Linked DNA regions of Mus musculus. The main gene of each other region encodes a partner of the protein of the gene in region 5 in a complex. Links are inferred from orthologs where the notes say so. Each region holds a gene or a part of one and is shown on either strand. Other genes may lie near its edges. The genes, in order: Smarcd2, Arid1a, Dpf1, Arid1b, Smarca4, Smarce1 and Phf10.

Evidence for each region.
Region 1: Smarca4 (region 5) and Smarcd2 share a complex: the UniProt entries of both Homo sapiens proteins name them as parts of the BAF complex. The link is inferred for Mus musculus from reciprocal best matches to the Homo sapiens genes SMARCA4 and SMARCD2.
Region 2: Smarca4 (region 5) and Arid1a share a complex: the UniProt entries of both Homo sapiens proteins name them as parts of the neuron-specific chromatin remodeling complex. The link is inferred for Mus musculus from reciprocal best matches to the Homo sapiens genes SMARCA4 and ARID1A.
Region 3: Smarca4 (region 5) and Dpf1 share a complex: the UniProt entries of both Homo sapiens proteins name them as parts of the neuron-specific chromatin remodeling complex. The link is inferred for Mus musculus from reciprocal best matches to the Homo sapiens genes SMARCA4 and DPF1.
Region 4: Smarca4 (region 5) and Arid1b share a complex: the UniProt entries of both Homo sapiens proteins name them as parts of the neuron-specific chromatin remodeling complex. The link is inferred for Mus musculus from reciprocal best matches to the Homo sapiens genes SMARCA4 and ARID1B.
Region 6: Smarca4 (region 5) and Smarce1 share a complex: the UniProt entries of both Homo sapiens proteins name them as parts of the BAF complex. The link is inferred for Mus musculus from reciprocal best matches to the Homo sapiens genes SMARCA4 and SMARCE1.
Region 7: Smarca4 (region 5) and Phf10 share a complex: the UniProt entries of both Homo sapiens proteins name them as parts of the neural progenitors-specific chromatin remodeling complex. The link is inferred for Mus musculus from reciprocal best matches to the Homo sapiens genes SMARCA4 and PHF10.

What each region holds. Positions count from the first base shown.
Region 1 is NC_000077.6:106,269,775-106,274,406, forward strand, and holds the start of Smarcd2 (SWI/SNF-related matrix-associated actin-dependent regulator of chromatin subfamily D member 2), read right to left. Parts: upstream 3,199-4,632; 5' UTR 2,935-3,198; coding exon 2,719-2,934; coding exon of another isoform or gene 2,659-2,718; intron 1-2,658. Other genes in the region: Tcam1 (testicular cell adhesion molecule 1), read left to right, coding at 3,860-3,877. UniProt on the Homo sapiens protein: Involved in transcriptional activation and repression of select genes by chromatin remodeling (alteration of DNA-nucleosome topology).
Region 2 is NC_000070.6:133,680,776-133,684,731, forward strand, and holds part of Arid1a (AT-rich interactive domain-containing protein 1A), read right to left. Parts: intron 3,791-3,956; coding exon 3,660-3,790; intron 1,281-3,659; coding exon 1-1,280. UniProt on the Homo sapiens protein: Involved in transcriptional activation and repression of select genes by chromatin remodeling (alteration of DNA-nucleosome topology).
Region 3 is NC_000073.6:29,306,215-29,310,914, forward strand, and holds the start of Dpf1 (zinc finger protein neuro-d4), read left to right. Parts: upstream 1-1,855; coding exon 1,856-1,884; coding exon of another isoform or gene 1,885-1,952; intron 1,953-2,031; exon of another isoform or gene 2,032-2,278; coding exon of another isoform or gene 2,279-2,286; intron 2,287-3,196; coding exon 3,197-3,357; intron 3,358-3,430; coding exon 3,431-3,538; intron 3,539-4,700. UniProt on the Homo sapiens protein: May have an important role in developing neurons by participating in regulation of cell survival, possibly as a neurospecific transcription factor. Belongs to the neuron-specific chromatin remodeling complex (nBAF complex).
Region 4 is NC_000083.6:4,993,706-4,998,174, reverse strand, and holds the start of Arid1b (AT-rich interactive domain-containing protein 1B), read right to left. Parts: upstream 3,081-4,469; coding exon 1,683-3,080; intron 1,251-1,682; exon of another isoform or gene 1-1,250. UniProt on the Homo sapiens protein: Involved in transcriptional activation and repression of select genes by chromatin remodeling (alteration of DNA-nucleosome topology).
Region 5 is NC_000075.6:21,671,379-21,675,334, reverse strand, and holds part of Smarca4 (transcription activator BRG1), read right to left. Parts: intron 3,293-3,956; coding exon 3,246-3,292; intron 2,166-3,245; coding exon 1,999-2,165; intron 269-1,998; coding exon 105-268; intron 1-104. UniProt on the Homo sapiens protein: ATPase involved in transcriptional activation and repression of select genes by chromatin remodeling (alteration of DNA-nucleosome topology).
Region 6 is NC_000077.6:99,211,034-99,214,224, forward strand, and holds part of Smarce1 (SWI/SNF-related matrix-associated actin-dependent regulator of chromatin subfamily E member 1), read right to left. Parts: intron 3,103-3,191; coding exon 3,001-3,102; intron 2,298-3,000; coding exon 2,087-2,297; intron 1-2,086. UniProt on the Homo sapiens protein: Involved in transcriptional activation and repression of select genes by chromatin remodeling (alteration of DNA-nucleosome topology).
Region 7 is NC_000083.6:14,958,215-14,962,599, forward strand, and holds the start of Phf10 (PHD finger protein 10), read right to left. Parts: upstream 3,047-4,385; 5' UTR 2,981-3,046; coding exon 2,897-2,980; intron 1,312-2,896; coding exon 1,205-1,311; intron 1-1,204. UniProt on the Homo sapiens protein: Involved in transcription activity regulation by chromatin remodeling. Belongs to the neural progenitors-specific chromatin remodeling complex (npBAF complex) and is required for the proliferation of neural progenitors.

The DNA.
Region 1 (4,632 bases), on a different chromosome or scaffold from region 5:
CCAGCCTGGTCTACAAAGTGAGTTCCAGGACAGCCAGGGCTATACAGAGAAACCCTGTCTCGAAAAACCAAAAACAAAAAAAAACAAAAAACAAAAAAATAAAAAAAACAAACAAACAAAACAAAACAAAACAAAACATGCTCTGCTCTCCTCCAAATCTGTAGCCCTGGTCCTTCTGATAGCTGCCTGAACCTAAGAGCCTCATTTGGAGGACATACCCTGACCCTATGAACAGAGGTATTTTAAACTCTGAGCTGAGTGAACCCTGCAATAATGCACACTAGGTTTTGTTAAGCTCTTCAGGGTAACTATACTCCAAAACTAGAAAAAGCCTCTAGAGTTAGGTGGGCTATCAATTTACTTCAGCAGGCTCCCCAATATGCTCATCTTGAGCACACAAGTCTGCTCACCCCAAGAACTCTAACCAGGAGCCCCTCTGGCCTCAGATCCCAAGACTTGCTGGAAGTTGGACATGGGAAGAAGCAAGCGGGATCTCCTTCAAACTCAACCAATGCTAACTGGGTTCTCCTTCCCTCCTTTCCCCTGCCTTTCCCTGGAGGAGGAAGAGGAAGAAGAAGAGGAGGAGGAGGAGGAGGAAGAGGAGGAGGAGGAGGAGGGGGAGAGGAAACATAGTTGGTATGGGATGCCCAGATTCAAGGCTATCTCCTTTCTCACAACTAGCAGCCGCAGCCATTTGGCTGGCCAGCCTGGCCTCAGCATAGACCCAAGGCTACTCTACAAAATATGCAGGAATCCATCTTCCAGTCTTCAACAGGGGCTTTCCCAATGGCATGTTCTCTATCAGCTGCTTTCCAAGGAAATGGGTCTACATAGTGAGTTACAGGACAGCCAGGACTATATAGAGAGACTTGGAAAACCAACCAACCAAACAGACATCCCCAGTGCCTGTAGGAAGCTTCCAGACCAGCTCTAAACAAGCAGAGCCAAGGGCTGACGCAGAGACTCATCAGTGATATACTAGGCCCATGAATCTCCAAAGAAAGCCACATGGGAAAGATAAACCCCGCTAGTATCCTTGGAACCACGTCTATCTCTGTTTATACCCAAACTCGTCATTTTCTTTTTAGATAGGAGTTGAAATGAAGGGGGTCACTTATCCCCACTCCGACCCCCAGTTAGGTATCTCCTGGGTATCTGATTCCTGGGCTGGAGAGATGGCTCAGTGATTAAGAGCGCCGACTGCTCTTCCAAAGGTCCCGAGTTCAAATCCCAGCAACCACATGGTGGCTCACAACCATCTGTAACGAAATCCGATGCCCTCTTCTGGTGTGTCTGAAGACAGCCACAGTGTGCTTACATATAATAAATAAATGAATCTTTAAAAAAAAAAAAAGAAATCTGATTCCTGGGTGGAATATGCATACATCATGAAGATCTATTTCTGAGACTTCTACCTAGAGACACCAGCAGGGGACAGAGCAAGCTACAGTGCACACCTCTCACCTCTCTGGCACATAGGTTGAGAGACATATGGCCTTGTCAGGAACCTGAGGGATAAGGAAAGAGAGGTTGGGCGTGATAGTGTGTGACTGTAATGCCAGACACTTGAGAGAAAAGAGTTCAAGGTGGGCTTTGGCTACACAGCCAGCCTGGACTATATGAGACCCTGTATCAAAAAGCAAGTAACAAAAGTGACAAGGATGTGGGAGAAGGATGGGCACAATCCCCAGGAAAGGAGGTGCAGCTCCCTGATACAGCAATCGTCTGCCACGTGCAAAGCCCTGCCTGGATTCCATGCTCAGCACCAAAATGCAAAAGCAAAACAAAATTCCCAAACATTCTGGAGCCACTTGAACCAGAGCTCTGGGGAATGAGGAGCGCCACATGCAGAATCAGGCTGAGTTCCCAATGCACTGACCACGGGTCCTGTCTCTGCTTGTCAATGGCCTTTGATGCTGCAACCTGAGACAGCTCTCTGCCAAGACAGAAGGGTCAGGGCAGTACCCTGTGCAGCCCAAGACCAGCAGGACTCCACAAAGCCTCCCTGCTCCTCCAAACTTTACTGGACACTGGCATCAAGAAGGAAAGCCCCGTACAGAGGATATCTTGAATGGTCTGTTAATGGGATCGGGCCTTCTTCAGACCTGGACACAGCTATTTCTAATCTATCCTGGAGTTATCTGGGCCCAATCTCTTTAGTCTCCCATTTCGTAGGAAGCCTGGCTTCCTTCCTCCTCAACTTGAGCAGCTGGGAGCCATCTCAGACATACTAACGCTCTGCCAGTTCCCAACTAGGAAGAAAAAAAAAAAAAAAAAGAAAGAAAGAAAGCCAAGGCAGAGATGCAGTGGGACCGAGGCCAAAGAAAGAGTAACCCTGTTTTCTCACTAACGACCCTCTTCCAAATTTTCCTCACCACATCCCGGGTCACTCCCTCACCTCCACTCCGGGACCTGTCTTACACTTTCAACCTGATTGCCCACAATTCTCTAGATCTCACGAAGCCTCCATCTCTAAGTTACTCGGAGCCAAGAAGCCCCGGGACTCCTCTAACTGCTCAAGCCCTCCACCGCAGAGGGCTTTCACCCTTTCCCCAACACTGCCTCCAACCCCGAGCCACTAACCAAGGGACTCTGGCCTGCCCGCCACCAGCCCTCGACAGTTCCTCCTGCAGTGTCCCCTGGGCCGCCTGTCCTCACCTGAGGCCCCAGGGAGACCGACACAGCGCCCTCGCGGCGCCGCTCGCCTGCCCTCCTCACCTGGTACTGCGCCGCGGGGCCAGCGGGGCCCATGGGGCGGAAGGCGGCGGCCCCCGGTACCCCCATGCCTCCAGAAGGCCCCGGGCCCCTGAGCGCCGGGCTGGGCAGCATTCCGGGTCCCGCAGGCGGAGGCGGCGCACCAAGGGCCGCGGCAACGGCGCCGCCGCCGGGGCTCAGCGGAGGCAGCGGGAACCCGCCCGCGCCACGGCCGGACATCACTCTGTCCCGTCCCGCGGTGCAGCGATCCGGCCTCCGGTCTCCGTGTTGAGTCCGCTCCGCGAGCTACGTTCCGCGATCCGGGACTTCCCGATTTTACTACCGGGTTCCGGGATCTTCTACTCCAAGTTCGCAAGTTCTTTGCAGCCCGGCTTTAGGATCCCGCGGCCCCTCTGACTCCGCTCCTGCCAGGGATACTCCAGATCCGGGATGTGCCGCGAGCCCGCAGGCCTCTCCCGGCCTCCGGAGGTTTGATCGCCGGAGTCCAGTTACCCAGAGGCGGTTACGAACTCCCAGCCCCGCCCAACCTAGACCCTGCAGGCCCCGCCCCTGCCCGGCAACCCAATCGAGAATGCCTCTTTAAATCCCGCCCTCGCGAGACCCGCCTCAAACCAGCACCTCCCATAACTGACGGCCTTAGAGCCCCGCCCTTGGGGGAGGCGGCCTTTTCCCGGAGGAGCGGGAGCGGAAGCTGCACGCGGAAGCGCGGAGGAGAAAGGCGTGGGGTCAGAGTTCGAAGGTCGCGTAGGGCCGTCCGAACTGTTAGGTGTTTGCTGTTTGCTCCGTAGTGCTGCTGCCTCGGCGAGATCCCCGATATGGCCCATCCAAAACAGTTCCGTCAATTCTGCGTCTTCAAGCCTTAAAAATAAGCGATCCGCGGCGGGAAAGCCGCCAACCACTTTTTAAGAGCCCATCTCGGGGCCGGTGGCATAAGGCACCCCACACCCACCCACCCATCTACCCCCAGAAGCCTGTATTGGTTGCTCCGCGCTTCCAAGGACATGGGCGGCCCCAGACGTGACCCAGCTGAGTGAAAGCTTGGCTTGGCCCAACTCCGAGTACTTAACTGCACTAACTTGCCCGTGCCTTTCTTTAAGGAAGCCTGGTAATTCGCAGAAAATGTTTTTAGGTGAAGGGATTTTGCATGCTGAGAGAACTCCAGGTACTGAAATAAGTTTTATCCAGTTTGTATAGGACTTAGTTTTGAAAAGTTGAGAATCAGCCGGGCGTGGTGGCAAACGCCTTTAATCCCAGCACTTGGGAGGCGGAGGCAGGTGGATTTCTGAGTTCAAGGCCAGCCTGGTCTACAAAGTGAGTTTTAGGACAGTCAGGACTACACAGAGAAACCCCGTCTCGAAAAACCAAAAAAGAAAAGAAAAGTTGAGAACCTTTTCAGAAACCACTGGCTTCGGCTATGTTATAGACCTACCCTCTGTCAATGTGGTATCTCCTACCCACGGTATAGAATAGTGCTACTTAACTAGGCACTGAAAATCCTCAGAATCAGGTTGGGGGTGTAACTCAGGTTATAGCGTGCACAAAGCCCTGGGCTTGAACCCCAGACTGCATCAACTACATGGTGGTGCATCCTCAAAATCCCAGCACACAGGAGGAGGCAGGTGGGCCAGAAGTTCAGGATGGTTCTCAGCTGCATCACCAGTTGATTCTACAGGAGACCCTATATCAGAAGAAAGCCGAGCTTTTTGTTAAAATGTGGTTTATGGTTCAATGAAATGGGGGCAGGGTACAAGATTCTGTATTTCTTTTTTGGTTTTTCAAGATAGGATTTCTTTGTGCAGCCCTGGATGTCCTGGAACTAGGTCTGTAGACCAGGCTGGCCAAAGATGACATAGGCTTTGGTCTTTTGACTAAACTGCTTTTGTTAACTTGTCCAATAAAGAGTTGTCCTGTAGGTGG
Region 2 (3,956 bases), on a different chromosome or scaffold from region 5:
GTGGCCAGGATCAGGTCCACATTGTTGTCCTGGATGCTGAGTTTGCTGAGGGTTTCCAAGACCAATCTCTGGGGGGAGAGGACGGCATTGGGGCCTAGGGTTGAGAAGGGGTCCTGGGCTTCAGCTGAAGGGCAAACTGCCCAGTGTAGGAGTCCGTCCAGGACAGGCAGGCAGATGCTCTCAGGATATGGGGATAGGTCCAATTGCCCCGAGATGTTGGCGAGGGTGACCAGCGTGTTTTCTCGGAGCATCTCCAAGCAGTCCCACCACCACTCCACTTTGTCACAGCTCACCCCTTGGTCCTGTTCCTCCTCCTTCTCATAAGTTAGTGGTGCCTGCTTCCGCTCTGGGTGCTTGTGGTGCAGCAGGATCAGCTTGCCCAGGATAAGCAGCAGCCCTGGGTGTTTGGACATCTCAAAGTCGTTGCCTGGCACAAACGACAGGCTCCGGATGGTATTGGAGACACAGACACAGCGCTTAGCAAGGGAATCCTGCCAGTCCAGAAGGGTACACAGTGGGGTCTCATCCTTACTATGGGGTTCATCCTCTAAAATTTTGATGTTCCGGTGGCTCTGTGCTGGGCTAATGCCAAATGGAAACTTGCTGCTTTCCTTGGTGGCCTCTGCACTCTTTGCCCCCTCATCAGTCAATGTGCTAGACCGGGTAGACAACATGTCATCCATGGTGGCTGTGATCCTTTTCTCTGGAAGGCCATCGGGCGGGGGGCCCTCCTGCTCCGTTGTCCCTGGTGTGCCCTCTACTGTTGTGAGGTGTTTCCGAGGGGGCGTTGGGCAGGGCACATAAGGCCGGGAAGGCAGCAGCTCTATCTTGCTCTCAAAGTGGGTCTGGATATGCTCAGTGGTATCCCCACCACCAATCCGCCAGTGTAGCAGGCCACTGTCAAACTCCTGCACGCGCCCAAGCTTATCTGAGCAGTCCACCACAAATGGGTCATTCCTCTGCACGATCTTTACCGGAAGCTTGTCAAACTTACTGACTAGCTTCTCCTCATTATTCTCTGAAGATGGCTTGTCCTTGCCCAAAAAGGCCATCTCCTCATCATTTCCAACCCCTTCTTCCTCTTCCTCCTCCAGTTTAGGATCAAGGTGTTCTTCCTCTTCTTCCTCTGTATGGGCTGGACTATACACCTTGGTGAATCTCCCAGGGTCTAGTAATGTTCTCTGTCCTGGGTCCCCTACCTCATACTCCTTTAAAATGCCAAAGATTTCAATTAGGCATCTACGGAAATATTCCACAAGGAGCTCTAGCAAGCCTGGGAGCTGAAAGAGAGAAAAAAAGGAAGGGAAGAATTCTTGACAGGAGTTCCCAAGATCTTATCCAATTCATATTTATTCTCTCTCTCCCCTCCCCCCTCTCCTCCCCCTCCTTTCTCTCCCAGGCAGAGCTGTCCCATGCTAAAGGCTTCCCCACCACACCGCTCTTTACAGTTCTCTAACCATTTCCTTCGTAAAGAAGGGCAAGAATTTTTCTTTGACCCAAACAATGGTCACATAAGCCTGCTTCCAGCAAGACAGAAATGTGAGCTACAATCTATACCTCCCCTGACAGTTACACCCAACCTCTTCGAACACTTCTTTCTGAGTGTGTGTTGTATTTTTCACTAGGCATCTGGTCACTGCCAGCGTTTACCTAAAGTGGCCTCTGTTATCTCATGGCCACATGGGGGCCAAGTCTTCAGCAGGCTGGGATGACCCCTTTCCAACACGAGCTAGAGAAGGACTGCACTGCACTGTCAACAGATGCTCATCTATTCCCCACTAGTTTCTAGTCACATTAACACTTGCCCGAAATCCATCCATCCACCTCATTATTAGAGTTGTAAAGATCTTGGTTTGAATACTGCTTTTCCCAGAAATTAGTTGTATGAAATGGTGATAAATCCCTGAGCATTATAAAGTTGGTTCTGGTATATAGGAAGTGAGCAAAATCTATCCCTTACTTTCTGGTGGACAAGACTATCACAGAATGGAAATGTGCTGACCAGCTATGGTCAAAAAACGGAATCTGAGGTTTTGGGAGACCAGGGAGAGGGTGCACGCCTTTAATCCCAGCACTTGGGAGGCAGAGGCAGGCGGATTTCTGAGTTCGAGGTCAGCCTGGTCTACAAAGTGAGTTCCAGGACAGCCAGGGCTACACAGAGAAACCCTGTCTCAAAAAACAAAAACAAAAAAACAAAAACAAAAAACAAAACAAAAAAAAAACTACACACACAAAAAAACAAAACAAAACAAAACAAAAAGACTACGACCTGGACATGCTAGTACATGCACTTGACCCAGCACTCGGGAGGCAGAGGCAGGTGGATTTCTGTGTTCAGGACCCACACAAAGTATGTTCTAAGCCAGTCAGGGATACAGTAGTGAAAGTGTTTCAGAAAACCAAGATGACTCTGAGCCCATTTACTCAACTCTCCTATAAAAATGACGTGAAACAAAACAGTAATTAAGCAAGAGCACAGTAATCCAACGAAGCATCCTTTAGTCGGCTCCTCCATCAACAAATCAGCAATAGTGACATAGGCAGTGGAAATATGTCCCCCAGGGTCTATCTTCTGTAAGTCTGCCATCACCATAATAATAGTAATACATATTTCTTTTAACGTACAAGATCTCATGTGTCCCACGTTGGTCCTAAACTATCTATATAACCAAAGATGACTTTGAACTTCTGATCTCCTACCTACACCTCTCAAGTGCTAGGATTATGTGTGCACCACTACACCTCATTTATATGGTACTATAATATAAGCCCATCTCTGGGCCATGACCATGTTAGGGAAGCACTTTACCATCTAAATGACAATCCCAGTTTCCAGTCTTGAAGTTCTTTTTAATTAAAGAAAACAAGAAGAAAAAGAAAGAAAAGAAATGAAAGCAGCACGGTGGTCTGGGCACACGCCTTTATCTCAGCACTTAGAAGGCAGGGAGATCTCAAGTTTGAGGCTAGCCTGCTCCACAGGACTTCCAGGATAGCCAGGGCTAAACACAGAAATGCTGCCTTGAAAAAAAATTAATAAACGAATGAGAGGAAGCATTATGGGATGAGGGGAGATCATTTTTGAAGTCATCTTTCTATCTTTTGATGTATGGGAACTGAACACAGGCTCCAGTGCCAAGTGCCTTTGCACACTGAGCCATCTTGCTTAATCCTTACCAGTAACAAAGTTTCCCCCAGCTGTGCAGAACCTTTAATCCCAGCACTGAGGGGTTGGGATAGGGAGAGACCCTCTCTCATAAAAGGAAAGCAAAGCCCCCGCTGAGCATGGCACTTTATAGAGAAGAGGGCAGAAGCAGCACCACACACTCTATGGCTGCCTCCATACAGGTAACGTTGTAACCCTGTCTCAAAACAACAGACCCTAAAGAACAATGAAACCCTTTCTCCCAAATAAAACTCTGACATGACAACCAGCTCGCTAAAGAGAAACCCTGTCTTGAAAGCAGCAACAACTGAGTTGCCAGCACTGCTTCCAATTCCAACCCCACGTGGGGGGTGGGGTGGGGTCAAGGCACGAACACTGCAAGCACAGAAGGTCTCCAGCACAGTGACAAGGGCCAAGAATGGCTTCGTTCCTGCTGTGCCATAGTGTTATCTACATCAACAGTACCCCCTCACCTTGCCCAGACACCTGTACTCACCTGGCTGAGGTTGAAGGTCATAATGCTGTTGTCATCATACAGTAGAATGTTAATGGTGTCTAACGCCCACGTGCTCTCTGCCAGGAGCCCGGACTTGAGGGACATCATTACCCGCCATGCCTCCGGGGTTCCTGAAATAAACCTCTGTGTTGTCCATCCACCAAGCCCCAGCTGGCTAGAGGCACCCCCAAGGCTGGTCCATTAGTCAGGCTAGTCTGACTTCATTGCTTCTAAGCTGTCTAGGGCACCAGCATATGGCAGACAGAGCCTTGAAGAAAAACCTGAAATCAGCTTATT
Region 3 (4,700 bases), on a different chromosome or scaffold from region 5:
CTCTCTGCACAGAGCCCGACTCAAAGTATTGATGTAAATAGCGAGTAATTAGCATTATCACACAGGGCACTGGGCTCCTGGGCAGGAGCGTTGCTTGGGCAACTGAGGACTGGGAGGGCCAAGTTCTGAGGAGAGCATTCTAGGAAGGGTCTGTGACAGTGATGGGAAAGGAAAGAGAGCCGGGGCCTTTCCTGGTAGTAGCCTGGGCTTCAGAGGTGACAGGATCTGAGTGTAAGGGCTGAGGTAGAGCTGCGAAATCAAGTTGGTGTGCTGGGAATCTGGAGGGTGGCAGAGGATTGTGACAAGGACCCTCTGAGCTCAATACTGGGTCTGGAGACTGGACGTATCATGGCATGGTCTGGAGATGATACTATGTGAGGGGTACCCACACCCCTTATTTATTCCTGGGCAGGACGTAAATCAGACACCCTGCAGTGCCGGGGGACGCCTGAGATGGGTGGGTGGGTGGGTGGATGGGGACATTTGTGGAAGGGAGCTATAGCAGTCTAGAGGTGTATTGTGTGTGTGAAGTGCGGGAAACCTTGAGACTTATGATGGGTGGACCGCCCCCTGCTGGACAAGAATTTTTTTTGTATTAACACTTGATATGCTAATTTATGCTGCCACTCTAATCAGAATGCTAAGTTATTCCCCAGAGGTGGGGCTGAGTGTGAGTCGTGTGTGTGTGTGTGTGTGTGTGTGTGTGTGTGTGTGATATTCAGTAGGTCAGCTCATTCTCTGGGGATCTCTTAGGGTAGAGTGTGGGAGAGAAAAGGAGGCAAGGAGGATCCTGTAGGGACGTGTGCAGGCACACGAATTCTATATCCAGACAGCAGCCAGGGGCTGAGAACAGGTAAGGTTTCCTCCCAGGATCTCAAAGCCCTTCTCTAGAAAATGAGGATAGTCCGGTTTAACCTGGAGAGAGCTGTGTTAAGCACATAGTGAGTGTTAAGTATTCACTCAACAAATATTTGTTGAACACCTGCTAAGGCAGGCTATTTATTCTTCCTAATAACAGTGCAACCACTTTATGCCTTGGTACATATCAGATCCTCTTTGTAGATATCTTCTCGGTGGAATAAATGAATTTATAGGTATCTGCCAGGTACTAATTCCAGCACTTGCCTGGTATGGCGTCACACACTAATTTCAGCACTTGGAGAGACAGGAAAAATGGCCAGTTTGGGCTGAACAGCAAGATGCTGTCCCTAAAACAGTCACTTACCCTGTTGCTATTGTAATCTTCAGTCCGTTGAGACAGGCCCAGAACGCTTAGCTTAAGTCATGCGCACCAAGTCCCACAAGCGAGGATTTGAGGCCAGGAAGAAGGAAGGCAGTTCTGTAGTCCTTCGTAGGAGTGGACTGGGGTGGCCGCGAGAGTCATCTCTCAGTCACGATGGGTTCTCTACAGCTTGGAGTGCTAGGTGGCGTTTGGCGTGCTGGTGACACAGCTGGGTGGGCACCTGCGAGGTCCCCGCGCGCCTGTGGCCGGTTGTGCGTGAAGGTGGGGTGAATGGAAGTCTGCGAGTGTAGTGTGACTATGTGTAAGCTGCCATGTGCGCGTGTGTGCGTGCATGCGTCTGTGCACGTGGGGCTGGAAGTGCGTGTGAGTGAGCGTGTGTGAACGACTGCGAGATCCTCCATCCCTCCCCCACCCCACCCCCTGGGTCGGAGGACCCGCTAGGGACTACCACTCCCGGCATGGCCTGGGCGGCCCGCCCTGCCATCCTGATTGGCTGAGATCCTCGTGCTCCCGCCCCCTGGGAATGAATGGATGGGCGGCCTCAGCGCCCGCCCGACCGCTGGGAGGACCGACCCGGCAGGGACCTGCTGGGGGCAGGACCCGGGGAGCAAGATGGCCACGGTCATCCCCAGCCCCCTGAGGTGGTGCGGGTGGGCGCGAGGCGGGGGAGTCGGCGCGGGCGGGTCTGTGCGGCCGCGCGCGCGCGTGTGTATGTGTGTGGCCGCTGGGGGTGGGGCTGGTGGGGTGTCAGGGGGCTGTCACCGCGTGCGGGGGTGCGAGTGTATGTGACTGAGGGTGTTTAGCAAGAATGATGTCCGACGCGTTGCTCCAGGACTGGGAGAGGGCGTGGGGGAGGGGTCTCCAAGGATTTTTAGGGGAAAGGGGTCATGTCCCCTCCCAGGGATGCCAGGGTTTGAGAGAGGGTACATGGTCTAGGGAAGCTGGGGCCTGGGTACACTCGAATCCACGCTACCTTTGTCTTGGGGTGTGGAGTGTGTTGAGCGACTTATACATTGCTTTTTGCTTTGTAGCTGAATGTGTGGGTATGTATAGGGTTTCTTTTATTCTGCACTACCTATCTGAGTATTTGGGTCTCGAAGTGTGTGCACATGTCTGGCGAATCTGCACCATTTATGTTCTGTGTCTTTGGATATGGACGTGTGAGGATAGGTCTAAATTTTTGTGTGAACATGAGCAGACCTGACTGCCCCTCTGTTTCCAAGGCGTGTACCTGTGTATTTGGGGATGCATTTTAAATTTGGGGTTTCTGTGTATGTGTACCCTTGAAAATCTCAGTGATGTCTTTGTATTGTGTGTTTGGCTGGAGTGTCTTTGGATGGATATGTAAGCGCATATGTAAATGTTTATAGGGTCCCTATCTTTTGACATTGTGTGACTGTTGGGATGAGTGTTGTGTGGTGTGTTTCCATGTTGTGGGTCTTTGTGGATAAGCTGTCTCTGGAACCATCTGGGTCTCTGGATACATGACATTCATAGGTAGTTCTATGGCTTTTTTTGATTTGGATTATTTGTGTTCTGCAAGAGATGTGTGTCTGTGTGACAGAGAGAATTTGTTTGCTACTCCTTTGTGAAGATTGGGATACGTTTCTCTTTGTGTGTGAATCCCGTGTGGCCATGTGCGATTTGTTTGTATTGGGTGTTTGGCTACGTTCATGTGTGGATGGGTCCCGGTATGTTTTGGTTTGTTTTTATATTGTCTGTGAACACTTCTTAACCCGAGACATAATCAAGTTTTAGGTAGCTGCTTCCCTGCCAGCACCCTGCCCCGCCCCCGGATCCAGAGGGGTGGGAGAAGATGGGGGAGGTGAAGGTGGACCTGGCCGGCTTGCCCTTTGCGGAGCAGTGGGAACGGGCAGCCGCGGGAGGGTGCTGGGCCTCCCTGCACTAGCCCTTGCTGACAGCCGCCCGCCCGCTGCTCGCCCGCCCCCACAGCCTTGGCGAGGACTTCTACCGGGAGGCCATCGAGCACTGTCGCAGCTACAACGCGCGCCTGTGTGCCGAGCGCAGCCTGCGCCTGCCTTTCCTCGACTCGCAGACCGGAGTGGCCCAGAACAACTGCTACATCTGGATGGAGAAGACCCACCGCGGGCCTGGTACTCGCCGCGAGGCTGGGGTGGGGCGGGGCCTGAGTCCGGGGACCTCACTTTCACAGCCTCTCTCCTCCAGGTTTGGCCCCGGGACAGATCTACACTTACCCCGCCCGCTGTTGGAGGAAGAAACGGAGACTCAACATCCTGGAGGACCCCAGGCTCCGGCCCTGCGAGTACAAGATCGGTGGGTGGAGCTGTGTCCCCTGCGCCTGCTGTGGCCCCAATCAAGGCCTTCAGCCCTCCCTGCTCCCCGGCTGAACTTCGTCTTTATTATCCTGAGTGTCCCTCCAGCAGACTATCTGTCCCCGGATGTCTTGAGTTACTTTCTTTGAGTGACTGAGTTGCCAGCTGTACCTGCTATGTGGGTCATGGCAAGCAGGTGTTTGGAGGACATGGTGTCATCTATGTCTAGATGTATCAAGGCTGATTGCATGTGCTTCCCAGGGAGCTGGGATACACCTGTGTCTGACTGTGTTTCTTTCTGTGGGTGCTGAGGGCTGTCTCACTGTGTATTTGTAAGAGTTAGCAACAGTTCTCCAGCTGTGGGTTGAGACCATGCACAACATATTTACATTTATGATGTATAACTATAAAAAAATTACAGTTATGAAGTAGCAACGAAATAATTTTCTGGCTGGGGGGGTCAACACAACATGAGGAACTATATTAAATTTAGGGTCACACTTTTAGGAAGGTTGAGAGCCACTCAGGGCGTCTACTTGTGACTTGTTTGTTGCTGAGTGCTTTAGGGTGCCTGTTTCTTTCTAGGTGTTTCCAAGAGAGAAAATGTGTGGGAAAATGTGTGTGTGTGTGGGGGGGGGGTAGGTCCGTGTCTGTCTATCTCTTTTGGGTGCATATCTGATTCCATCAGGGCATCCTGTTGGGGTACCATCTGTGACAGCCTTTCTGTGTTAGGTGTTTCTTCTGGAGTTTTCCAATGTGTTCAGGATAGGCAGACATTGGTTTCATCTCTTCCTCTGTCCAAATGTGTGTGTGTGTGAAGGTCTCCTTGTATCAAGGGTGCTGGAGAGCTGGCCGGCTGTGTTTTTCCCTGTATGTCAGACTGGGTTTCTCTGTGTAAGCATGTGGACACATTTGAGTGCTTCTCCTCGGGGTTGTCTGTGAGTGTCCAGGTGTACCATAGGGCGTACCTTTGTCTTCCTAATTAATGAAGGTCTAGATTTCTCTGTGGCTCTGGCTATTTCTTTCTGAGTATCTCTGTATCCAAGGGCTTAATCCTATCTCTTCTGTGTGTCCAGCTGTGTTCAAAGGTCAGCTGTGTTCCCTGTGTGGCCGGACATCTCTCTGCATGTCCTGCCTATGTGTCTGTGTGTATCCTATTCAAA
Region 4 (4,469 bases), on a different chromosome or scaffold from region 5:
AAAAAAAGACATGTGCTTTAGCATTTCAAAGAAATATTCATTGCCTCTTTTGGTCAATTGTTCTCTACAAAAATTCGTTTTGTTTCACAGGTTTTGGAACACACCAGTTGTAAGTAACACTCCTCGTCCACATGACCATCTTAAAATGGTCGCAATTATGAGAACACAAATCACTAAAAATGCATAGCTTTATTCTGGCTCTAAGCTAATTAAGAATCACCAATTATATAGCTTTCTTCTGATTTTTAGATAATTAAATATCAGTAAGAAATGTTATAGCATTTCAGAATACTGAAATCTTAATGCATTAAACTGTAAACTGGTAGGATTAAAATATATTCAATTAGATCTGTAAAAAGCAGACTTTTATAAAAAAGCTTGACGAAGCCCAAACTGGTCCAATCTTTGCATTAATTATTTCCCAATGCTCCTATTTTCAGTCCACAATTAAAGCCCACAATAAATGTAATGTTCATATTGTAAGATTTGTCATCGAAGACCCAAGTTTTATAAATGCCTAATACTGGACAACAGCATGTTTCTCTGTATTCAATCCTTTATTACTAACTATGATTCATAACAATTTAAGCTCTAAATAGTATTCAATCTTCCATGTGCTTGGAATAGAGTTCAGTTATTATTTGTGTCAGGAATTTTTGTGACTGTACTGCTCCGCACTTCTATTTACATCAGCAGTGCTAAATGCCCAATGGTGAGAGGGGAGCCAATCAGATGGCAGATTAGATGTCAACTCAGAGGCAGCTGTCTGGAGACTATTACAGCCAGTTTACCTCCACAATTCAAATTCCAAACCTTGCAAAGGAGAGATCAAGTCAGTCTTTAGGCTCAGCCTACTAGCAAGAAACAGCCAGAGCGCAAGACACTTCCTAACAACGCTGTTGGACTTGGGAGACAGCAAAATCAAGAAAATCCACTCAAATACGATCCACAACGACCCATTTTCTCTGGCCTACTACCTTACTAGGTTTGCTGAATAAAAAAGGAAAACCTAACCCATGATCAAAATAAGTTCCATCGATCCGGAATCTATTCCTTCAACATCGCCTCCCGGTTGAAGGTGACTCCTTCCAAGGAGCCCTTAGCCCCATAATGGATCTCTCCCCAGCTATTCTTAGGAACGAATCGATGTTATTTTACAATATTTCGCCTCCGCCCGTTGTAAATCTGGGTCTTATTCTTGCTGGTAAACATCCAAACTCCACCAGCCACGGCTGTCACAAAGCTAACCTCGGTTTTTGGGTTTTTTTTTTTTTTTTTTTTTGGTTTTTTTTTTCCCCCTGCCTCCTCCTCGCAAGGGGAATGGGAAACCGACCGAGGCCCGAAGAGAGAAAGTTCCTCTCTCCCCGCGCCCACTCAGGGCACACCGTGGGCGCCGGCGGAGTCAAGCCGGGCCCCGGAGCCCGCTGCCCCGAGAGCCCTCCCCGGGCGGGCGCGGCCTGGGGCACCGAGGTCCCGTCCCGGGCCTGGCACGGGAGCGCAGCGCGCAGCAAGGGCGCGGGACACCCCGGCTCCCCAGCCCCGCCAGCTCCGGCCCCGGCCCGGCGGCGCCGCGCCCCCGCCACCCCCGCCAACCGCCGGGAAAAGTACCCGGCGAAGAAAGAAAGTCGGGCTCGCGGCGCGAGGCCCGGGCGGAAGCAGGCCCGGCCGGGCGCGGGGGTTACCTGGGATCTGCCCATGGTCGGTCCGGGGGTGCCGGGGCTCATCGCCGGGTGACTCCTTTGTTGCGCGGCCGCCCAGGCCGGGCTGGCAGCGGCGTACTGGGCGCCTAGGTCCTTGCCCAAGCCCATGCCCGCGGCCGCCTGCTGGCCACCCGCCGCCGCCCCCGCCGCCGCCTGGGACTGGGGCTGCGACGGCGGCGGCGGCGCGCTGGAGCTGCTGTAGTCGGGGTAGCTACCGCCGTAGCTCCTCATCATGGGGCTGGGTGAGGTGAGCAGCTGGTTGAGGGTCGGTGTAGCCCCCGACGGGTGCTGGTTCTGGCCGGCGAAGCGCTGGAAGCCCCCCGCCGCCGCCGCCGCGCCGGCGGCCGCCTTGCTGAGGCTCGCGGCCCCGCCGCCCCCGGGGCCCATCATCATGCCGCCGCCCTGCTGCCGCGGGGAGCTCAGCACCCCGTACCCCGAGGACGAGCTCCCATAGCCGCCGCCACCGCCTCCTCCTGCTGCTGCTGCTGCTGCCGCCGCCGCCGCGGCCGCCGCCGCCACAGCTCCGGCTCCTGCTGCCGCTGCCGCTGCTCCTCCTGCTCCTCCTGCTCCTCCTCCTCCTCCACCTCCTCCGCTGCCTCCTCCTCCTCCGCCGCCGCCGCCGCCGCCGCCCGCGCCGGGCCGGCTGTAGCCCGGATAATGGTTGTACTGGCTGTTGGGGTACCCTTCGTGGGAGTTCTGCAGGGGGTCCATGCTGCTGGGGGCCCCGGCGGCGGCAGAGGCGGAGTGCATCATCCCCATCCCGGGGCTTTGTTGTCCGCCATGTTGATCAAAGCAAGGCCCAGCGCGGCCGCCGGGGCCGCCGCTAGCAGGGGCAGCGCTGCCATAGTAATTATTAAACTCCGAGACGGCCGCTGGGCCGCCGCCGCCCCCGGGCACGGCGACCGGCGCGGGCTGCTGCTGCGCGCCCAGGCCCGGGTGCTCATAGCGGCTGCCCGCCGGCTCCCCCATCTTGGGCGGCGCGTCGTCCTCGTCGCCCGGTTTGCTCAGCAGAGGCTGGCCCTGCGGGTCAGCCTGATTGCCCGCGACACTGTCCTTGGCGCCTCCATGTTGCGGCTGCTCCATGTCCGGGCCGGGCTGAGGCGCGCCGCCGCCCGCACCGCCCAGGCTGTTGTTGGCAGTGGGATGCTGCTGCTGCGGCGGTGGCGGCGGCTGCTGCTGCTGTGGCTGCGGCGGCTGCGGCTGCTGGAACTGGTTTAGCTGCTGCTGTAGTGCGTGGTGGTGGTGGAGGTGGTGGAGGTGGTGGGCATGGTGGTGGTGGTGGTGGTGGGCATGGTGGTGGTGGTGCTGCTGATGGGGCGGTGCAGCGGGGGCCTCGCCAACGGCTTTCAGTTTGTGGTTGGGGAGCAGCCCGGTCTCCATGGTCGAGCCGGGGCCCGCCGAGGAGGAAGAGGCCGCGACGGCGGCGGAGGAGGACAGCGCGGCGGCGCTTCCACCCTCCTTGAGAGCCGCCTCGGAGCGGCCGCTCTGCGCGCTGTTGGAGCTGGCGGCCGCCGCGGCGCTCGCGCTATGGGCCATGTTCAGGTCGTGACGGGGGTGCAGGGGGTGGTGGTGCACATTATTCAGGCCGCCGTCGCCGCCCCCCAGGATGGGGCCCGGAGCCGCCACCGCGCCGCGCGCGCCCGTCTCCAGGTCCCGGGCCCCGGGCGCCGGCCGCGGCCCCGAGGGCGCCCGCCGCTCGCCGCTGCCCGCCCGCGCCCGCGCCGCCGCTGCTGCCCGCGCGGCCATGATCGCCGCGGCGTGGCGCGGCCGGGCGGGGTGGGGGGAGACAATGTCCCCACTCGCAGCCGGCCGCCCCTCCTGCGCGCATCCACGCGGCCCGCGGGGAAGCGCGGTGCCCTCCCCACCCCACCCCCCGCAGCCCCGGGCCGCCCGCCGGGGGCGCGCCTTTGCGCTCGGGGGCTCGCGCCCGCTACGGCCTGAACGGGCGGAAAGTTTTTTAGTTCCGCTTGCAATGAAACTTTTCTCTCTCCCTCCCTCACTCTCGCTCGCTCTCTCTCTCTCTCTTTTTCCCCCCTCTCTAACCCGGATATGGGGGGGGGGGGGAAATGCACGACTTGCCTGAGCCTAATCGGGCCCAGCGCGGCGTGAGGGAGCCGAGCGAGCCGGAGCAACTATTATCCGCTTCTCTCCGAGGGCTGCTGCGCACTCGCAAAACGCGGACTGGACTCGGCCCCGGGCGCCGCCGCTGAGCGCACGTTCGCCCGCCAGCTCGCCCCGCTCACCCGGCTGGTCTCGCCCGGCCTGGCGCGGAGGGCCCGGCCCGGGGGAGCGAGGGGAGGGGGGGGGGAACCGGCTGCCGGCGCTCGGGGCCCGAAGCTGCTCGGTCCCCTCGTGCCTCCGGTCTCCCTGCCAACCCGCGCGCGGCCCTGTGTTTGTTTTCACGTCTAAAGGGAGCGGTACGAAGGTGGAAAACGAGTCTGAAGAGCAGACAAAAGAGGGAGAAGGGGCTGGGAAGCAAAGTTGTCTGTTGGGCCTCAGAGGTGGCGAGGAGCCGGTGGAGAAGAGAAACACTCAGGCAGGCCGGGCAAAAGCACTCGGTCTCTCTCAGGAGTTATGTAATTTTTCACAACCTTGGCCTCTGCGCCTGAATTTCAGGCCATCGGCTTAATTCCCACAACTTCATCCAACTGAGAAATTATGAAAGACTTAAGTGAAGGTTAAGCAGCAAAGACTGCTGTGCCGTGTACACAGCAGGCACTCAATAATTGCTTATGATTCACCACTCCGATCTAAGGTGGTGTTTATATA
Region 5 (3,956 bases):
GGATTAGTGACCGCACTTCTCGTGGCTCCCAGGACAGGGAGAACATCAGGGAGGCAGTGACACTAAGATAGGAACTATCTGCTTTCCTCTACCAATGCATTTACCTGGTGGGGATTCCAGTCACTGTCAAAGATGATCACAGTGTCAGCTGACTGCAGATTCAGGCCCAGCCCCCCAGCACGGGTACTGAGCAGGAAAATGAAATACTCAGAGCCAGGTTCATTAAAGGTTTTCAACAGCATGCCCCGGTCTTCTGCTTTTGTGGTTCCTGATAGGCACAGGAGAAGAGGGTTAGGAGGGTGACAGGGGTGGTGTTGCAGGTCACAAGAGCCACAGATATACTCTATAGATTGTAAAGGGTTAACCAGACAGCGACTTGGAGGTACAGCCTGTCATTACCAAATGCTGCCATACTCAGGAGATTTTAAAAAAAGGAAGGAGGGGGGGTGGGGACAAGACCAGCTGATTCCTGTAGGACACAAGCCACTGGAAGAAGAAGATGCTGGCAGGCTCTTGGGCTGCCATCTCTAGGTGCAATGCTTCCTGACACTTGTTCCCTCTGTTCTTTATGAGGAGAGACACCACATAGCTAAGAAGGCTGATGCCATACTCTGACAAGGAACACAGCATTAGTGGCATAGTGTGATGAGATGAACCACTAGCCACAGCCTTGGCATGTACCCTTAATTCTCTTGCAGTAACTTTGGTTAGCGTAGAGAAAAATCTATACATAAGAGCTGTAACCACTGAAGCCTTCCTTGGACTCCTAGCTCACAGGGGGCTAATAGGCCTACACCTCATACTTGCCACACAGTGTTCCTTGACCTTCTGCCCACTCCTTGAGCAGTCTTAACACCGCATGCAACACTCACAGCAGAAACCAACAGATAAAAGTCCTTAGGCTCCTACTTGAGCAGACAGGGATCTGCATAAAGTAGGACCTGGTGCTTACAAGGACAAAGGAGGCAGCTAGAGGTCCAGCCATTTGGACCTCAGCAGTGTTTGGCCAGCACTGAGCTATGTGAACATTCAGAACGGGATGGTGGTTTAGCAAAGGTGGTCCTGGAGCACCTAAGGAGGGGCTGGGGCCAGATGGATGTATGGGAGTTCTGGTCAGCACATTCTAGATGAAGCTCCATAGAATCATACAAAAAGATGAAGCAATCAAGTTCAGGTTGTAAGACGCTGAAGCATCTTTAAAATGCAGTATAAAATGAAAAGGTCCAGGGCACAGAGAGATGGGACAGGAGAGGCAGAGGTCTAGAGTAAGGCACTCCCAGCTTCTGAGCCCAATAAAGGCTCTGCAAGGAAAACAGAAAGCTGATAAGTCTTGTTGGTTCTGAGGTCCTCCATTGTGTCTTCCCAGGATGACAATGTGGGACACTAACTCCAGGGCTTCCCAATCATTTGTTCTGTTAACAATGCTGGCCTTTTCCTCCCTGAAGTACTTTGTGGAAAGTAGGGAAGGTGGAAAGACATACTCTGGCAACTGGTACACAGAGCCTCCCAGGCAGTGCAGGACCTTGCCTGCAAGCGGGCTAGGGTCCCACGGCAAGTGAGCATCATTCAGCTCTGGGCCAGGCCTGTTACGGGACACGGCAAGGTAGCTGGCTGGGAGTCGGGGAAAGCTTTGTTTCTGTTGCTAACACTGAGCAGTAGCAGAGTCTATCTAAGGATGAGGCCCAGAGTACAGGAGAACTTCATGGAGATGCAGCTCTACCGGAGCAGAGAACTCTCAAGGTTCCACATTGGCAGGGCTCTTATGTTCACGCACACATGATAACTTTGTGTAACTTAAGCGGAAATGGCAGTCAGAACCCACACTACAGAATACAGCACTGCAGTGAAGACTCTAGCAAACAGGAGACTAAACACCTTCAGGCCCTCCTTCAGGTTCCTGACAGTTAGGATGTCCTCAGATTCAGGGTATACTCTGGACTTCAAGTCCATATAACCAGGTCAGGAATGAGTATCTCCAGCAAACTGCCCTCTACTCACCATCAAGCCTGAGGTATTTGAAGCCACGGTATGCAAAGTAGTCTTCCATGATGGTCATGAGGGAGGTCATTTGGCAAAAGAGGAGCACTTTATGGTTCGTTGCACGGAGTTTGGGTAGAATTCTATCAAGAAGTTCAAATTTCCCTGAGGCACGGTAAAGGTCCAATCTAGTCCACGGAGGGAAGAAGGGAAACATTCAGTCCTCAGTCACACGCCTGTGAGCTCAGAGATGCGTGCTGCATCTAGGCTGCTGGGCAGATTCAAGGAAAGAAGTGGCTTCCCGAGCAAGGCCACCCACTGCTACAGCTGAACTCTGGTCACTGTTAGTCAGAGTACATTACCAATGACTACATATGTCCATGTCATTTCACCAGGTCACAAGGAGAATAAAAAAAGTGCGATCAGACATGACGCCCAGTGGGCTGGGGAGTTGGCTCAGTATTGGGTGAAGTATTTGTCCTGTAAGCTCACTGACCTGAGTTCAGTCCCTAGAACCTACGTAAAGGTAGAAAGAGAGGAACGGTTCTACAGAGGGGCAGTGCTGAGCTGGAGCTGCTTTGAGGATGGTGGGTCTGCTACCATAACATTAGAACAGCTCACACTAGGAACAGACTATAGACTAAAGAATCCTGTGTACCACAGTGAAGCACTTGTCTAGAATAGTGAGGCCCTGGGCCCAATCTCCAGTGCAGCAAAAAGCACTGTCACCCTCCTAATTAAATGCCATGCCCTTACAGGTAAAAACCGGGGCTGGAAATGTAGCTTCAACTTCAAGAATGTCTAAAAGAGGAAAATGGTGATATTCTAGAGATGGCATCCATGGCCAACACCACTGACTTCTATAAGTGTGGTCTGGCATCACACACCTATGGTCCTGGCACGTGGAAGGTTGAGGCACAAAGATTCCAATTGCTTCAGGAAGAAGATGATTAGCCACCCTGGGCTACATAGTTACATACATACCTAGCTCACACATTGAGACTGTGTCCCAACAACCCAAGAGAAAAGAAGTGGACCCCGCACTTGAAGCTGCAGGAAAGGTGCTCACAGGGTATCAAGGGCAGAGCGGGTGGATTGAAGCTCAGGGCTAACAGAGGCTGCTTAGCATTACACTGTGGGCAGTGGAGTTTAGGTCTGGAGGCCTCAGATAGCAGATAAATGCTAATCACAGCAACAAAGCCACTGAACAAGACTATAACCCCCCTAGCAGACTGCTACCCACTCTCAAGAGCTGGGAAGCTTCTCACCCTTGCACGATGCCGCCGGTGAACCCCAAGTGCTCAGAAAAGGACTCCTGCAACAGGACAAGAGATGGATCAGTGCCAAGGCAGGGAGGGACTGCCCAGTCAAGCCCATGGTCCAGGCAGCTACTGCAGAGGACTGAGAGGTCACACTGGTAGTTATCTGTGGCCTGCAGGGCACAGAGTCCAGATGTGGATGTCCAGCTTGGACTCAGTGCACCAATGCCAACCCTCATGCTCTTCCTGTGAAGGATGGGAAGAAGACTATGTGATATTAGGCACCAACGTCAACACCTCAGACCACCCTGAAATGGAACGCTAAGGACTCAGAGGTCTTGAGTGACCCTGAAACTGTACACTAAGAATACTAACACATGCTTGCTTTTTAGGCAAGAGTCGAGATTCTCCAAAAGCACAGTTACTCATGATGACCGTGGCTGTGGTCACAGACCTGACTGATGTCTGTCCATCAGCACTTCATAACCTGCAGGTAAGAAGCCCTGACAGAGACACGTGTAACCTCAGGAGTGGGAACACTTCCCAAGGGAGGAGTCCCCAAACACGCAGAAAATACCTACAAGGTGACTGTTTTTTAAAGATGTATTTATTATGTATACAGTGTTCTGTCTACATGTGTCTACAGGCCAGATCTCATTAGAGATGGTCGTGAGCCACCATGTGGTTGCTGGAAATTGAACTCAGGACCTCTGGAAGAAC
Region 6 (3,191 bases), on a different chromosome or scaffold from region 5:
GGCTCTCCCACTGACCTGGAAGTGACCAGGCAGGCTAGGCTGGCAGGCCAACGAGCCTTGGGAGCTGCCCATCTCTATCTCCCCAGTCCTGGATCATGAGCATGCGCTACCATGCTTTTTACATAGGAGCTCAGGTCCAATCTACTCAGCTTTCTCTCTAGCCTAGAATGTTAATAAGTTTAAAAATATTGATAGATAACACTGAAATATTTTCTGGAGACTTGGTTTAAACGTCACATTAAAAGGAAGCCAGAAGGGCTGGTGAGATGGCTCAGTGGGTAAGAGCACCCGACTGCTCTTCTGAAGGTCCAGAGTTCGAATCCCAGCAACCACATGGTGGCTCACAACCATCCGTAACAAGATCTGACTCCCTCTTCTGGTGTGTCTGAATACAGCTACAGTGTACTTACATATAATAATAAAATAAAAAAAAAAAAAAAAAAAAAAAAAAAGGAAGCCAGAAGCGAGAGGCAGCAGCAGCAGAAGCTTCAGCTACTCGGAGGCTGAGGCTAAGATTGCCCTCAGGAGTCTGAGGGCAGCCTGGACAACGCAGTACAGCAAGACCCTGCCTGAAGCACACAAAATAAAGGCACAGAAAGAAGCTGAGCCACTTTCTTAGGAAGCTGAATACAAGGTTCTGACATCTCCAATTTTTTCCTTCGGTTCCTCCTCCTCTTTCTTTTCCTTAAGCTAGAAGACGGACATCGGAGTAATAAACACCCTAAACATCCAGATGCTGTCAGAATAGACAGACCTCATTCGGGGCAGAACAGACTCAAGACTGAGAATATGGCCTGGCTGCAAGGTGAGCAAGGAACCACACTCTGATTTGCAAGCGTCTGCGGTAGCCACAAAAATGTGCTTCAGCCCCAAATTTATGGTTGGGAAAAAAAAAAAAAAAAACCCCAAAACCCCCCCAAAAACAAAACCAGGTTCACAAAACCAGAAAGGAGCCCAGACAATGCTGATTAAAACCAGACTGTCTGAAAAGATAACCTGCTGAGTTAAACAAATAGTGTATAAATGCATGGTAGAGATTCTCAAGTTTCATTAAACATTGCCAGGAGTTGCTGTTTGAGTACAGAGAGAGTATGCCCGTGTCCCTTTTACCAGCAATTGCTAGTGTCCCCTAACTACCTTTGACCTGCTCATGTTTATCCATTATCAGGGTCAATAGTGCCAACAGGCAAGGTGATCTCAAAAACGCCAAGGTTAACCAAAGTCATCAGTATTTGATCTAAGTTTTACCTTTCTTTTCTTAAAAACAAAAACCAACCCTGAACCATGAGGAATGCCTTTATTCAGGAAAACCAAACCATTGTTCTAGGGCGAGGTTGGTCGGCTACCAACATGTAAAGCTTAGACAGTCATCACTGTAGGCTTTGTGGGCCAGGAAGTCTGTCTCAAGTCCCAAACCATACACACACAGGTACAGATATGTATTATGCATACATGTACACATGTACATATACACATACGTCTATGTGCATGTATACGTGTATATATTCATGTACACACACACACTGCTGTCTCCTCAAAGCTGTCACATACAGTGTGGCAGTCAAACTTTACTTACAGAATTATGGAGTAAGACTTGGCTTACTGCTTTACTTTGCCCAATGCCATCTTAGGACAAAGACGACATATCTTGGGAACAATGTTATATTTTATGTAAGTAGTAGCCGTAAAGGTTAAAATATTATTGCCTATTATCCTATGTCAAATCCGCAGCAGAGTGCACTCATGGAGGCAGGTGTTGTTCAAATGAGGAGATGAGACAGAAGGCTCAGTAACGTCACTGTCAGCAACGGGCACACAGGCAGGACCCTCCACGTCTGTCTCTCTATCTGCAGAGCCACACCCACCCACCTGGGTACGACAGGAGCTCAGACAACAAGACTGACACCACTGGGCTGCACTGTGGAGCCAGCAACAGCAGCAGTGAATCTACTATGGAGAAAGAATAAGACTGGAGTGTCGCAGGGAATGACTGAAGGGTGCAGACTGTTGAAAGGCATCCAGGCAGGACAGCCAGAAGGCAGCTGTCAGGGCCCTCACCCCTCCTGGGTGTGGAGGAGGCGGTTACCTGTCTCCATCGGGATGCTCTCCTCATCTTTCTTCTCCTCGGCTTTGTTCGCCACTTGCTCTTCCTCAGGGGCCATGCTGCTCTGACTGCGCTCAGCCTGCTCTGCTGCCTCCTTCTCCCTCTCCTCTTGCCTCTTGCGGGCTTGTTCCTCCGCCTGTGCGATCTCAGCCGCAATCTTCTCCATGTCTACTTCCACCTTCAGACCACATAACTGGTTGTGAAGAACACATCAGTGAGCTCAGCATGTTTTCTTCCGAGAAACTCAGAATTAAGTAAGTTGTCTCCTGGCTTATGTAATAGTATTTACATAGGGAAAAGGAAAGCAATGGCTTGTCCTGAAGCGACGGGACAAAAGAGCTGATCTAGCCACCATCAGGCATGCAGGGGCAGGGGCTGCTGGGCCTTCTAGGACTCGGCTAGCCTCAGGACCTCCACTCACACCTCAGTTAGCAAACTTGGGATTTACTTATTTATTCAGTCATTGAATTTTTTGGCTTGTTTTGCTTTCTTGAGATATATTCTCTCTATGTAGTCTTGGAACTCACTATATAGACCAGGCTGACCTTGAAGTTGAATCCTGCTTCCTCTGCTTGGGATTAAAGGTGTGTGCCACCATGCCCAGCGAGACTTACTCAAAATGCAACTGAACTACATCTAATGAAGACATCTATGAATAAATTACAAAAAAGTGAAAATAAATTACAACTACAAAGATTTTAACAAAGCACTGGAGGGTTCTATTACCTGAGGGCCTAGTCTTTATATGTATACATGACACTGCTAATTTATTATAAAGATAGTAGAGTTTGTGCTGTGATGTTAGTATTGTTTCAAAGTGACCAACACTCAATAGAAACATTAAGAAAAATAGCAACTGGCGCATGATAAAGGTAGTCAGTGAATGGAACGGATACCCTTTTAAGTTCATTGTTAAAGGAGTCCGTGCTTTCCAGGAATTTCCTCTTCTTTTCCTGGTGTCGTTCCTCTATCTGAAGGAGCTCGGCTTCTAGTTTCCGCTGTAAGGTGTCAGACCAGATATGTATCGTTATGAGTTTTCTCTAAGGCAGATGTAAAGTGCAGAGAGCATGCCATTTAAAGATATTAC
Region 7 (4,385 bases), on a different chromosome or scaffold from region 5:
ATACATAAAGGAGCCCCATAACTCATCAGCACAAAATAAAAGAGAAATGGACAGCTGGGCACAGTGGTGCATGCCTTTAATCTAGCTCTGTGAGCCAGCCTCATGTACATAGTAAATTCAAGGACAGCCAGAGAAACATACTAAGACCCTGTCTCAAAAAAACAAAAACAAAAACAAAAACAAAAACTGGGGTAGGGGTGGAGAAATGGACAGAGAAGTAAATAGACATTTCTCCAAAAACATAAATCAAATGATCAAAGAGCACCTAAAAAATATTCGGCAAGCACCACTAGCCATGGTATACAACACAGAATCACAGTGGGTGATCACCTTATGTCTTTCTGGACGCCTATCAGCAAAATGAGCAAAAATAATGTTGCAAGGTGTATTGTTGGTGGAAATGCAGACTGGTACTACTGCTATGGAAATGTATGGAAGGTCCTTAAAAAGTCTGAAGACAGAATCAACGTGTGGTACAGCTTTCTACTTCTAGTTATATACCAGAGTATTAAGAACAGGGGTCTGAATGCCAGTGTTCACTTCAGCATTAACTACCCCAGCCTGCAGGTGAATGAGCACAATGTAGCAGAACATACGATGGAATATTGTTCAGACTTAAGGAGCTCCAACACGATGAACCTTGAAGATACTATGGTTATGGGTAAGCCAGATAACACGGGGCAGGTACTGTCTGGTTCATACTCAGGGCAGGAAGTAGAACTGTGGTAACCAGCAGCTGGAGGCAGGAAGGGATGGGAGGTACTGGAGGGTTAGGCAGTTTGAGTTACTAAAGTTTTGGAAAGGGCCGAGAGTGATGGTTGTACTGAAATATACTCTTTATATATAAAAAGTGTTACAATGGTGAGTTTTATATACCTACTTTACCATAACTTTTTAACAGTTATCAGGAGTGAGACCTACTTTGATAGTATATGACTTTTTTAGAAGATTTGTTTGTTTGCTCTCTATACAGACATTTGTGGAGGCCGGAATGGACCATGAGATCCTCCAGAGTTTACAGGAGCTTATGAGATGAGATGTGGGGCTGCTAACCAACCTCCAGTTAAGCAAGCACTCTTAACTTCTGAGCCATTTCTCCAGCCAACACATATAATTTTTAATAACTGTTTCTGCTGCCTGGAATAGGCAGGAGAAGAAGAAGTGAGCAAAAGTCTACGAAAGTTACTACTGAACCTTAAAGTACCTAAGATCTTGACTTGAAGTCTCACAACTTCTTGAGCTGTCTCCTGAGCCCATTCGCCTCCTTTTACATGGATGGGTCCCATCATTTGAGTTATCTTCATTATCATCCTGTACATTTAAATGATTAAAAAATTAGAAAATTTAAGAATGAATAAAACTAAAATCTGACCTTTAATCGAAATGAAATTAAATTTTCAACTGTATTTTAAATGTACTCTGCTTTCACTTTCTTACCAACTAGATTGTGTTCAAACATCTGCTTTTTAGTAGCCACACCACTTTAAAAATCAAAGCAAGCCTTCCTATTTGAGCTGGGAAATAAATACTAGTAAGTTTCATAGTACCCTTCAGCTTACAACTGGCCCCCCGGAGGCGCATTTTAATTAGCTACTTTGGAGATGAAGAAGGACTGGATACAGGTTACCACGTCTAACTACATTCCTTTTCTTCTGCGGCAGAAATTCAACACTTTGTGATAAACTCATAGGAGATATAGGTTGTTGAGCCATTCCATTAAGGAAATAAGTAATCAAATGTTTTAAAAACAATTCATTACGTTAATTAATAGGCTTAAACTCCTATTTTTTTTTTAAATCAAGGTACTATAGCTCCTAACACTACTACTCTTACTATAAATTTCAATAAAGGCCCACGGAAGGGAATGAAAAGGCAGCACAGGCTAGCATGCCAAGTCAGCATGGCACTGCGGGCTGCCAGAGAATCTTACTGAGCACTGCCCTCCACCAGCTGTGTGCTGCAAGCTTCTCCCCAGTCCTAAAGCCTAGGTGGCTGATGCAAGGATGCAGTGAAGTGATCACATAAGAGCCAGGTAGCACATAGCTGTCTGATATATGTTAACGTTGTGATTAGCAGTGACTTTATATTTCATTATGTCTCCAGCACCTAGGAATTTACTAAAATTACTTTCCAAATTAAAAAAGAACATAGAAATCATTCCCCTTTTCACTCTTCAAGAATGAAATCAAGTAGACTTAATATTCCCTTTTAAAGCTAACAATCAAGAAGTTGAAAGATAATTAAATTTCTTAGTATGTTTTTCACTGTATTCATGGTCCATACTGGCTTGACACCGTTAATTTTAAGCACTATTTTATTAATTTGTGGACATTTTAAGGATTTCTGTATGTCAATACTTTTACTTAAAAACAATGATCCTCTCGAAAAGAAACAATAACGGAAGTTGACACAGAGTTTACCAGCTCACAACTGTAGGAATCCTAAGGGCTACGTTCCAGGTAAGGCCCTCCCCTCCGCACCATCCTCGGTCAGGACAGGGAGCCAGCAGCCCCCTGCGAGCAGTCAGAGACCCCACCAGGGAGGACCGGCACGTGGCGGGGGCCACCTCGGCTGGCCGGGTCTGTGGGTGTGAAACCACGTTCTGCCAACTCGGGACCCCGAGCGCACGTCCCGCTCAGCGTCTCCCCGACTGAGATCCCCAAGGCCGCCAACTTTTCCGACTTTCCCAGGCTGGGGGCGCTTCGTCTCAAGCACTCTTCCCGAGTCCCCCGGTCCCAGCTATTCCCGGACAACTTCCCACCCCGCCGCGCAGGTCTCCCCGACGTCCGCGCCCACTGTCCGCCGCACTTGTTGCTCCAGGACCCGCCGCCCGGTCTCCTCTTCTCTCCCGAGCCCGGCCTGGGCCGCTGCCCCTTGGGCAGCGCGCTCCGCTCACCTTTGGGGACTGCGCTCCGGGGGAGGCCGGGTCGCTGTCGCACCGCCCCGGGGACAGCGCCGCCCCGGGCCCGGCCGCTGCCATCAGCCCAAGCGCCCCGCGCCTCCGTCGTCGTCGCCGCCTTCGCCTAGTCCCAGCGGCCGCCGCCGCCGCCGCTGCCGCCGCTGTCGCGCGGGCCGCCCGGCGCCCCGGCCCCGCCCCCTCCGCCCGCCCGCCCGGGGGCCGGCCCCTGCCGCCGCGCGCCCCGCGGCCCGCCAGCGCCACCGCCATGGCCGCCAGCGCGCTGCCGGCCGGGACCCGCACGCCGCTCACGTCAGCCGGCCGCAGCTGCGCGGCTCCGCCGGCCTCGGCCGGGGCCTTGCCGCCTTGCCGCCTTCACCCGGCGCGCCGCGCCCGGCCTGAGCTCCGCTGGCCAGCCACCGCCTCGGTCCCGGCCCCACCCGGGTTCCTGGCCGCCTGGCGAGCTCGCTGCCGCCCCTTCCCTGCGCCCCCGGCCCGGCCCTCCGCGTCAGCCGCGGCTCCGCGCCGCCCCGCCCCGCCGCGGTCCCGCCCCCTCCCCTCCTCCGCTGCGCGTCAGCCGGGGGTCCTCAGTCGGCGGTGCCTGCCTTGTCCCCACCTGGGTCCCTAGCCCCTCCCCTCAAAGATGTGTCTTCACCACGCTTGTTCTCCAATCCCTCCCCCGTACCCAGCTCCTCCCCTCAGCCCGGGGTCGCCACCACGCCGCCGTGTCCTCCCCACTCCCGATCATCAGCACCTTAGCTGAGGGTCCCTACCGCGCGGTATCCTCCCACCAACCCCACCCCTACCGGTCCCCAGCCCCTCCTCTCAGCCCGGGGTCTCCACAGCCGCGGCGACCTCCCCTTCTCCACCAGGGTCCTCGCTCCCTTCTGTAAATGAAGGATTAGTGTCCTCAGCCCACTTCCTCCTCTCTCGCAGCCCTTAGGGTCAACCACCCCAGGAGCTCCGCCTCCTCCCTCTTTGAGATCCCCTTCTCCTGAGTCCTTTCTGACTTCTCCACCCCACCTCTCCATCTTCACTCCACACACCCCAGGATCCCCAAGGCGCTCTTGGCTCATTTGTTCTACAACTGCTTCTCCTGTGACCTTGGCGTAGTGGCCCCCATGGCCACGGGAAAAGTCACAGCAGCACTCAGGTTGAACGGAACCCAGTCAGGCAAGGAGAACATAGGGAAGGTTCCCAAAATCATATGACAGAGTCAGCACAGTCACCTGCAGGACACAGGATTGGGAATTCCTGGAAATGGAAGCCAATTGTCCAATGGTGTTTGGACAGGATTTATATTGATGTTAGTGCTTAGACTTCGCCACAGGAAAGGCCGTACCCCACCCTTTGAAAAGAGCACCAGGAAGACAACAGGTCCAATGGACAAAGGCAAGGGGCAGAGAGGCAGGCCTACATCCCCCACCCCCCATCCCCTCCACTCCCCACAACACTTCCAAGAATGTAGGGGACCAAACCAGAAAAGGTG